3 linked regions of the Macaca fascicularis genome follow. The protein of the gene in region 1 interacts with the protein of each later gene in a biochemical or structural test. Links are inferred from orthologs where the notes say so. Each region holds a gene or a part of one and is shown on either strand. Other genes may lie near its edges.

The links.
Region 2: the proteins of CRP (region 1) and CFHR3 form a complex in vitro, tested with the Homo sapiens proteins (2 studies listed by IntAct, with this or other methods). The link is inferred for Macaca fascicularis from reciprocal best matches to the Homo sapiens genes CRP and CFHR3.
Region 3: the proteins of CRP (region 1) and complement factor H-related protein 4 form a complex in vitro, tested with the Homo sapiens proteins (4 studies listed by IntAct, with this or other methods). The link is inferred for Macaca fascicularis from reciprocal best matches to the Homo sapiens genes CRP and CFHR4.

What each region holds. Positions count from the first base shown.
Region 1 is NC_088375.1:101,346,805-101,350,563, reverse strand, and holds CRP (C-reactive protein), read right to left. Parts: upstream 2,732-3,759; 5' UTR 2,628-2,731; coding exon 2,567-2,627; intron 2,309-2,566; coding exon 1,695-2,308; 3' UTR 468-1,694; downstream 1-467. UniProt on the Homo sapiens protein: Displays several functions associated with host defense: it promotes agglutination, bacterial capsular swelling, phagocytosis and complement fixation through its calcium-dependent binding to phosphorylcholine.
Region 2 is NC_088375.1:54,511,567-54,515,325, reverse strand, and holds the start of CFHR3 (complement factor H-related protein 3), read right to left. Parts: upstream 2,365-3,759; 5' UTR 2,292-2,364; coding exon 2,234-2,291; intron 1-2,233. UniProt on the Homo sapiens protein: Might be involved in complement regulation.
Region 3 is NC_088375.1:54,604,465-54,608,123, forward strand, and holds part of complement factor H-related protein 4, read left to right. Parts: intron 1-2,001; coding exon 2,002-2,184; exon of another isoform or gene 2,185-2,732; intron 2,733-3,659.

The sequences.
Region 1 (3,759 bases):
TTCATTCCTGGCTGTGGTCTTTATGGAGTAACTTCTACTGGTCACTTAGTACTGAAAGACCGTACTGGAGGAAGGACACTTCTGGAGGAAGACAGCCGCTGTCATCTTTGAGTGGTCTGTTTCTACAAAGAACTGGAACCAACTGGGGCAAGTGCATTCTAGTCACTGAACCTGGCATCAGATTCATGGATCTCAATGATCTTTAGTTTTTGCTCCCAAATTGGAATAATGATAGAATGAGAGTATTAAAACCCCCACAACTGGCCACACATGAATGGCCAGCTGTCTCAAAAGAGGGATGTGCTTGTCAGAGGGAATCCCTTCAGGGGACTTTCGGGGACAGGTTGAAGTGCCATGGATATGTTGTGTAATGGGCAGTGTAAAGTTACAGGGACTTGGTTTCAAAGGCCCTTAGAGAAGTTAGTCACAACCTCTACAGCAACCATCAGAAAACAGCTTGGACTTGCTCAAGTAAACACGGGCTTTATTGGCTTATGGACCTGGGCAGTCCAGGTATAGATCTGGTTCTGGAAAAGGCTGATTCAGAGACTCCATGTGGTCAAGGCTCTGTTGTTTGTCAATCCCTTGGCTCCTCCACTTCCAGTTTGGCTTCTGTCTTCAGTCTCTCTCCATGTGGCAAACAAGATGGCTACTGGTGGTCCCAGGTTCATATCTTCTCAGCTTGGAAATCCAGCAGCAAGAAGATATCTCACTCCCAAAGGCCATAACTCAATCCTTGGAAAGGCTATAATTGGTCCTGCTGGGAACACATAACTATCCAACTATCCTCCAGATAGGGAGCTGGGGAGATGGGAGATGGGCTACTCTGACAGGACACCCTGTGGTTCATGTCCACTCTTGTGGCCTGGGTATATTGGGAATGAGGGGTTAAAGAAGGAATTCACAGCCCCACAAGGTTCATGTGCAAAAGGGGAGGAGTTTCCCAGAAGAGCCATAAAATTAAGAAAGCACTGCGAGCAAACAAAAACTATTGTTATGTAAGTTCTTGGCAGTAACAACATATTTATACCTAGTGCCTCATTTTGCTCTGGAAAAAAAAGCAGACCTTCTCTGCTAGGGCAATTCTAACGGCCTTTCCAGTGTGCTTTGAGAAAAATAGAGGAACTGTGCAGTATTGCTGGGCTTCCCATTTCAGGAGACCTGGGTCCAGCAGTTCCATGGCATGATCATGAGCACTCTGGACCCAAACCAGAGACCTGGCCAATGTCCTGATTCTGAGACTGAAGAGCCCTGTGAATGTGGGCAATGCCCTCCTGCTTTCTGGGGGTCCTGGGCGGGGAATTAAATAGAAGACCAGCACTTCCTTCTCAGTTCTTGCCTTGTGACATTTTTTAAAACATCATTTCCCCTTTCTGGGTGTCAGTGTTTTCATCTATGTGAGGGTAAGACATTATCTCCAAGATCTGTCCAACTTAAAAAGAAATCAAAATGAAAACAAAACACCTCAAATTCTGATTCTTTTGGACAAAGTTTCCCAGCATAGTTAACGAGCTCCCAGACCAGACACTTTGCCTCCATTCTCAGGTGCTGAGGAGGGTGGAGCAGGCCTGCAATGCATACAGGGGAACAAAGGCCCAGAGACAACCACATGGGAACCAGGCAGTGTGAAAAACCGGGAGGTACTAGAGACAGAGACGTGGGGCGCGTGCGGTGTAAAAAACCGGGAGGTACCATCAGGACCACAGCTGGGGTTTGATGAACACTTCACCTTGCACTTCATACTTCAGTGCCCGCCAGTACAGGACACTAGGACTGAAGGTCCCGCCACGATAGACGGTGCTAATCTCATCTGGTGACAGCACAAAGTCCCACATGTTCACATTTCCAATGTCTCCCACCAGGGACTGCTGTGTTTCAAAGCTCCCACCGAAGGAATCCTGCTCCTGCCCCAAGATGATGCTTGCATCTTCCCCCACAGTGTATCCCCTCTTCAGACTCTTCCTTGCCCTGGGCTTTCCATCCACCCAGAACTCCACGATCCCCGAGGCGGACTCCCAGCTTGTACAAATGTGTACTGGAGCTACTGTGACTTCAGGAACTTCGAATAATATTTCAGACCCACCCACTGTAAAACTGTATCCTATATCCTTAGACCAAAATATGAGAATCTCATTATTTTGTCTCTTGGTGGCATAAGAGAAAATACTGTACCCACGGGTTGAGGACAGTTCTGTGTAGAAGTGGAGGCACACAGTGAAGGCTTTGAGAGGCTTCGTTAACCGTGCTTTGAGGGTTACATAGGAATTATCCGACTCTTTGGGAAACACAAAAGCCTTCATCGACATGTCTGTGAGCCAGAAAAACAAGCAAATATGAGAGATTTCTCAGATCACAAAGATCTATCCCCTCACTTACGTATAGAGTTTAAAGTTGAGAAACAGACTGACCCCTTCTGCAGTTACACACACACATCACACACACACACACACACACACACACACACACGCACATCATGATGGGTGCTCCACTGTTCTGTTCATACAGTCTTAGACCCCATCCCCATACCTCAGATCAAATCTCTCCCATAGCCTGGGGTGGCCCTTACCTGTCTGGCCAAAAGCATGAGAGAGGCTGGTCAAGACCAAGAAACACAACAGCTTCTCCATGGTCACGCCCTGCTGCCAGTGATACAAGGACCTGAATTCACTCCTTTGGAAAAGATGTATTCGGCTGAAAGTTCAGGGGCTAGAAGTCCTAGATCTCTTGCCTCAGAGCTATCCCCTCCTGCCTGGATTTATATCCAAAGCAGTAAGGGAGTTTGTGCCACTTTGTAAATAATTTTCCATCATTGCCTGTTGGGGCAAGTGTCAGAGCTTCGGGAAGAGGAGAAGCAAAATTATTCCAGAACAGAGAAATCAATGTGGGTTATTTATTACAAACTCCTATGACTACTGAATTACCAATTCTTTGTGACAGGAAAAATGAAGAAATCTCCCAGGGTTCCACTTTGGCTATCTATCCTGAGAAAATAATGGGAAATAGTAACATATTAAATGAATGGTCATCTGGGTGCACATGGTAGCTGCCTCTCCAACACCCACTTCAGCCCAAGTCATAGAGTTTGACGAAGGAAAGCTGACAGCTTCTGGATATGGATATTTTCACTAACCTCTTTCAGAATTTGCTTATTTACAGATTGGGAAATGAGGAAAACAAATATGCCCTTCCCTGAGTCATGGACACATTTTCTTAGCCAACTGATTATACTTATTAAGAGCTCTCTAAACATCTTGGCACTAAATGACAGCCCTGACAGTAAAAGTCCTGTGAAATGTGTGCTGATGACAGACATAGCATTATGTCAGAGTTTCTTCCAACATTTTTCTCTGAACATGTAAAGCTTCAGGCAGGAGTCAGGATAATCTGATTCTACTCTTTCCTCTGTCCACAAGATTCAAGTAATCTCTCCACACTGTCTGTCCATCTTACTACAGTTCCCTACTTAACTCACTCTTCAAAATGACTATTATACTCCTTCTCCTTGCTCCTCAAGTCCCCAAAATCTCATTCATTCTTTTACTCAGCTGATGAACTCACCTTTCATTGAGAAGTTAGAAGCAATCAGAAAAGAACCACCATATCCTTTGTAGCAGAGGTTTCTAGCCATTCCCTCACATCCATTCTCTACTTCTCATAAGATAAGAATAACATTTTCAGTTGGGCGCTTGGTCATCCCCTCAAACACCAAATTTCCCAGCCCCCACTGTAGATTGCAGTGATGATGTGATTAAATTAAGG
Region 2 (3,759 bases), about 47 Mb from region 1:
TAGTGTGGCTACCAAAAGAATTGGCGTGCTGATTTTATTGTTCAGAACTGAAATATCAACTACCATTAAAAAAAATTCTTAGCATAAGCAACTCACAAAGTATATCATTCATTAATCATATGAAAAATATCTGTTGATTTGATTAACTAGATTCTGATTATAGATGAATACAGATAATATGTAAACATAAAGTGTTCAACAAGACAAAAATCAGCAAGGACAATACACCCAAGATATTATTACCAAATTCTGATGAATACGCTCTAAAATCTGTGTTGGGGGTGTGTGTGTGTGTGTATATATATATATATCCTTGAGTAAAAAGTAGAAAGTTATTTTAATTATTAATATTGTTTTAATAAATTGTGTAAATACCATTCTATTCATCCGCTAGAGCTACCATAATAAAGTACACAGATTTCATAGAAATTTATTTTCTCACAGTTCTGGAGGCTACTAGTTTGAGATATAGCTGTCAACGGGGTTGAATTCTTCTGAGACCTCTTCCTTTGTCTTGTAAATGGTTGTATTCTCTCTATGCCTGCTTGATCTTTCTCTATATGGTGTGTCCTTATTTTCTCTTCTTATATAGACACCAGTTATATTGGAGTAGGGCCCACCTGAATCATTGACCTTTAACTTAGTTACCTCTTTAAGCACTCCTTCTCCAAATGCACTCACATTCTCAGGTATTGAGAGTTTGGACTTTAACAAATGAATTTTGGAGGGATGCAGTTGAGCCAATGCTACTGAATACATAAAGATATTTCTCTCTACCCAACACGTTATTCCACTAAATGAGTTACTTTCTCCTTTGAGAAATACAGGTGAGACCCAAAGTTACAAGACAGTTTGCTCTAGTTTACTCTTACAAAGAGTTCATTGGAGGAAACAAGTTTTCAACTGGAGTATCAGATAAGAAAGAGTTTGTCATCATTCTTTTCTATAGTGCTTTTAAGAAAGTAAGTAAGAAAGTATAGCGCATATGCTTCTCTAATTCCAGTCATTTCAAACTAGTGCTATTTTTCTCCTTTGCATTCTACTTTAATCTATTTAATCTTTATTTGAAAAAATATACCTGTAACAGTTCAGTTAAAAAAGGAAATAACCGGAGTAATTCCTTTTTTTTTTTCCATTTTGGCATAGATCAAGTTTGTTTTGCACAACAAATAAAACTAGCAAATCATATGATAGTTAATATCATAAAACTAAAAACTCTTTCCCTAGAATCAAATAAGGTGGCATAGCTTTGACAGGAGAGGATGAGGGAAAAGATTCTCTCATAAATTGATAATGGGATTTCCAGTATTACCCACTGTTACATTTGTTGAAATATTATAAAATCTTGAATAATAACAAAGTTTGTATTCTTCATTAATAGCCACACACCATTGATTGGTCACGATTTTTGACCCATATGGTTCAGCTGCTAATGTTATGATATAGTTCTTTAACATGGAAAGCCTGCATTCAAAAAGATAGTTAATATAGAAAATATATGACTATCAAGGAGAAAAGAAATCAGTGAACAATGACATAAAGCTCTGAAAAGTATTTTCTGTGTATTTACTTATTGAACATTTGCTAGTGGACTCAGAAAAGCCAATCAAAACATACTGTCATTCCAATGTAAGTTTATAATCTACTTTTTATGTCATTCCGATATAAGTTTATATTCAACATATATATATGTTGCTAATTTTGTTGAAACGGTAGGTTGATGATAATGTTAATTAGTTTTAGCAGCTTTCTTAAGATATAATAGAAATACATTAAACTGCATAATTTAAAATGTATTATTTGATTTTTAATATATAAATGTATGAAAATCACCATATGTAAGATTATGAAAATATCAATCACTCCCAATGTTCCCCTTGTACTATGGATAAGAAAATTCTGAACGTCTTAAGTTTAGAATCTGTCTAATGACATGTTTCCTAATAACGTTTCATGAGTACATTCTCATATCTCCTTAATCAATATTAAATGCCTTTTACACTGCAGAACTTAGAAAACAAATAAAATATTATTCATTTTTTCTTTAAGTTAAAATGAGATAATTTTTTATAACATTAGTTTCTGTTATACTCCCACAAAATATGCCACTTCCACTAGCATAGTGAATTAATCCTCTTTGATTCATTAAAAAACAGATAGATATACAAAGCTAGATATTACCTGAAGTTACATTTAAGAGGGAAGCTGAGTGTTTAGATCGCTTTTAACTTACCTTGTCCATTAGCACAGGAAACCCACAAGGTGAGAATGACATTGATTAGTAACAACATGTTAGATATTCTCAGTAATATGTATTCATACAAAGGTCTTGATTGCACTATTTGGGGTTTGAAATCTTTCCTTGCTAGTTACCAAGTGTGATTCTGAATTTAAGTGCACTACCACAAAGCTAGGCCTTTAAGGTCACTTAGTAAATATCAAAGTTCAGAGAGTTTTGCAAAATCCTTCAATAATTCCAGTTAGTGGTTTCACAATCATCTGTGGAATTGATTTCCTGATGTGTAGCTTATCAGTTGATGTGTACAATTTTATTTAGGGACAGTAATGGACTGAATCCAAAAGTAATATAAAATATTAATTTATTTTATTTCTTATTTTTTGAGTAAAGAGAGTATTAATAAAGGGAACGAAAGGCTTCTGCAACTGTTGGAAGAACTGAGGGAACTAAGGTCAAAAATGCTATTTCCGGAAAATTCTGATATTCAAGAATCTTAGTGATGCCCTCACTAATTATCCATGGTGCTGCAGTGGATGTTTCTCAGGAAAACTTCCAGAATCAAGAAAAGCTATTGTTGGTGATCTCAGCTGCTATGAGCAGCTGCTACCAGATAATACTTTGTCTTTCTCTTCTTCCAAATCTTCTTTAAGTACATCTCATGGGGGAATCTAAGGTAGAAGCAAGCTATGGAGAAAGGAACTTCGGAAACTATAGTTTCAAACTTATGGTACGCAATGCAGAAGAAAATGAAAATAGGAACTGGGTTGATGTCACATTGAAAATAAACATCTGGCACACTAATCTCTTTCTGAAAATCCTGCTGTTGAGTTTGGCAAGCTGTTTTTTTTTTTTTTTTTTTTCCTCACAAATGGTCAAAATACAATTTCTTATCCAACATACTCTTCTTACAATGAGAACACTAATTTTAAAATTAAACATTGGAAAATAGGTGAGTGTCTTCCACATACAGAGGAATCACTAATGAATAACTCTCAGGGTCCACATGTCACTAAAATTTTCTGTTGTCCTTTGCTTTGCAGTACCTAACTTAATTATTTCAGGATGTTTGAAAACAAACCAGTGTGTCTGGACCACATTCCACTGTCTGTATTTTTATGTGTTTAGAGAAACAGACTGATTTTCAGAACTCACAATAGATCATACTGAGTACAAAAGTTTCAGTATATTCTTGATTTTAAATATTTTTAAAGTTGTGTTTTAGGGTATCTTTATTTTAAGGTACAATACATTCATACATATATATAATATATATTTTACATATATATATATATTATATATATATACAGACAGTGGAATGTGGTCCAGACACACTGGTTTGTTTTCAAACATCCTGAAATAATTAAGTTAGGTACTGCAAAGCAAAGGACAACAGAAAATTTTAGTGACATGTGGACCCTGAGAGTTATTCATTAGTGATTCCTCTGTATGTGGAAGATACTCACCTATTTTCCAATATATATATTATATATATATAAAAATTTCTGCTTTGTTGGAAGAAC
Region 3 (3,659 bases), about 47 Mb from region 1:
CTAACATTGAATACTGACTTTTTTGTACAAACATTTAGTAGTAGCTTTAGTTGTCCTTCAGTTATACATTATTTTGGGGTATTGATGCAGTATTATTTAAATATTCTAAAATTATTTTAATATACTATTTTGATTAAATTAATGTTTCTAATTTACTTTTTAATCATTTTATGGTCTTTAGGACAATGTATTCTCAGTTATTTGGAGAATGGATATAACACAAAATATGAAGGAACATATTGACAGGGTCAATCTGTAAAAGTTGAAGTCTGTCCTGACTACGGTCTTCCAAATGTGCAGACCACAGTTTCATGTACAGAGGATGATTGGTCTCCTCCTCCCAGATGCATTCGTGGCAGTTAGTCCACTTGTTTGAGATCCCAGTATGTCCATAACTGTCTAAGATTCTAGACCTTTAACGGGAAAATTTTGTGTATCAATTCTCAAGCTGAATATAGGCCTTTTTTATTGTTAGATAGAAGCCTAGCTAGTTTTCAGTTCCAAATATGTATGAATACATTTATAATTTCTGGATAATGAGTGGATTCTGTCACTTAATAGTCAAGTAATAGAAATATAAATTTTGAATAACACAAAATAAATAAAATATAGATGAAAGTAACACTGCTTCAGTATTTATATTGAAATCATGCTAAATGCATTGATTTAAGTAGATTATGAAATTATAGTATTAATTAAACAATAAATATAAGGCTTGCCCAAAGGTCACTTGTACATCTCTCACAATTATATGACATCTATTGTTATAGTTAGTGCTCTGTTGCTTTAAATTAAGACTCATCTTCTGTTATAGCTGACTTTCACTTTTTAGGTAAAGGGGTCTCTGAAAGTTGTTTGTGTGCATCGCTTGCAATTTACAAAACATTCCATTATAGAAACCGTATGATAATTATGATATAATTGACATGGAAGACAATAGAAATCTTCTTACACCTTTGTAGGAGCAATTGTACTCAACAATAGCCTAAGTCTCTGAAAGAAAAGTCCCTTTTTCTCATACCGTAGGCACCAACTCTATCATTAATGCACTTAATAAATATTGTTGTGTGTCAAGTGCTTTATAGATATGAAATACAATTATTTACAAGAGAAACTGAACACTGTAGTTTAGAGTTTAGAGGAGATTAATAGAAAAGTAGGCAAGAATAGATCAGAAAACTCATGATTATGACAAATGCTATATTATAAATATTTATCATCTTTAACATGATTTATTTTTCTTTCAGATAGTAAAATTAGTCCATTTACATTTTTTTAATTACTAACTAAAAAGGAACATATACATTACTAATATCTTAGAACATATACATTACTAAAATAATTACTACCTTATGCATAAACACATTAGTAACATATAGAACATATACAATAATATGTGAAGAACCTATACATTACTAATATATTACAACTTATTTTTGCTATCTTGTTTGTTTGTTTTTTTCCTGCTTACATTTCCACATTTCTCTCAAACACCATGTCTATATGGGTTTAAGACCCACTTAAGATGACAATCATTTTAATTTCCTGGAGACTAAAGATTTGCAAATTTATTTCCTTGTCTGTGGTAGCAGTGTGTACTGTATATTTGCCTGAGAAATGGCATATGACTATATGAGGTCTAAGATCTCTTAATAGCATCAAAAAGATTCAGGTTATTGCAAAGTAGCCAGAAACTCTTCCAAAAAGTCATAGGGAATTGAGAGTCTGCTAGATCTGCATTCCTCCGCAAGGCCTGCCAGAGCTCTGTTGACAGTCTCAAGGATTCCTTGCTTTTATTCCGCCTTTCCCTGTATTTTCACTATTTTCTTTCAAAATTCATGGTTTATTTTAGGAACATGGATGTCTAGGAAACTTCCAGTTTTGCTATTTTCAATTCCTTAACAAATGTTTCATTGTTTTACCATATTTCCATGTTTTTACTCGTTCCCTTCTATAAAAGAAGTATTCAACAAATTTTTTTTTCTCTACTTTTTCTATTAGGAACATGCTCAAAATCAGATATAGAAGTTGAAAATGGATTTATTTCTGAATCTTCTTCTATTTATATTTTAAATAAAGAGATGCAATATAAATGTAAACCAGGATATGCAACAGCAGATGGAAATTCTTCAGGATCAATTACATGTTTGCAAAATGGATGGTCAGCACAACCAGTTTGCATTAGTAAGTGATTTACATATTCCCATCCAGTTTCTGTCAACTTCATTCCTCTCTTTGAGATGATAGTGTTTTACTTAAAAATATAGAAAACACTTTTAGGAGTAAAGAGATATAAACACTTCTAATACCATTTAACATTCTGTGCCAGACTAAGCCTTTTTTGCCTTTTAGAGTAATGGCTACTTGGGAAGATGATCATTCCATCTCTTTCAATTCAATTTGCCTTTGCGTAAAAGCAATCCCATCAGGTACAGACTAGTTAGACAGCTGCACGGGACTCTCAGCAAAATGTAACAGTTGTCAATAAAAACTTTGTTCTTTTCCCTTTCTTCGTATTTCAAAATTATCAACTGCTTGTATTGTATTCCTTGCTCACACTCAGCAAAGATGTACATGTCGGGGAAGGGATGAGTGCTTAATTCTGAGTTTCTGCTAGCATCAGGAGAATGAGACCTTAATAATTTGTATCAATGATGCAACTGAGGAGAACCAACTCAGAAAATTATTTCCAGCTGGTAATCTAGTACAGAGAAAACAAGTAAAGGAAAAGGGTAAGTGGGTGGGCTGAATGTTTACAAACCTCATACTTGGCAATGGATTCCTTACAACTAAAGTTCTCTAAAACATTCCCAACTTGTAACTACTTATTATTAAAGAGATTGCATAATGAACCGTGGAAATCTTGCAGTGGCAAAAGTTGATCTTTTTTGTCTTTTCTCTGTAGACATTCACAAAGATTTTTAAAGATAAATTATTTAATTTATTTTTAACACACATATTGATATATAATTTACATAGTGCAAAATCCACTTCATTTTCAAGTGTACAATTCAACTATTTTTAGCCATGAGATGAAATGGAAGGGACTACTGATACATAATAGTGCATGGATGAATCTCAAAAGTATTAAGCTAAGTGAGAAAAAGAAAGGATACAATTAGAAAGTGATTATCTCATAGTTACTCTGAGGTTTGGGAGCTATAAAATGTAATTCCTACATTTCTAGAATACTGTTTTCAATTTCTATGCTTATCATGGGTTCTGCAAAAGACAAAGCTGTATACTTCAATCTAATTTGACTCAGCTTTGATAAATGATCAACTATAAGACTTGTAAAATAAAAGATAAGATGCTTTATATATTTTTGTAGAACCTATTATCCAATGAATATAATTTTAATACAACCTATACGCCAATACTGTCAGTAAATTGTGTACATAAATATGTATATTAACTTTTAAATTCACAAAATTTTATCGTCTTTAAAATAATACTTTATAATGATAAAGGTAGACTGTAATAACAGCCAATGAGATGTTCTCAAATAAAAATAGGTCTAACTAAATATTGTTAATATGTTTTTCATAGGATTTAAATGATGAGAAGGATATATATAGGGAAATATATTTTTCTCTTCTAATTAACTGTTACAGCACAAAGAAAGCACTGATTGTCAGACTATTTTTTAATAGTACTCA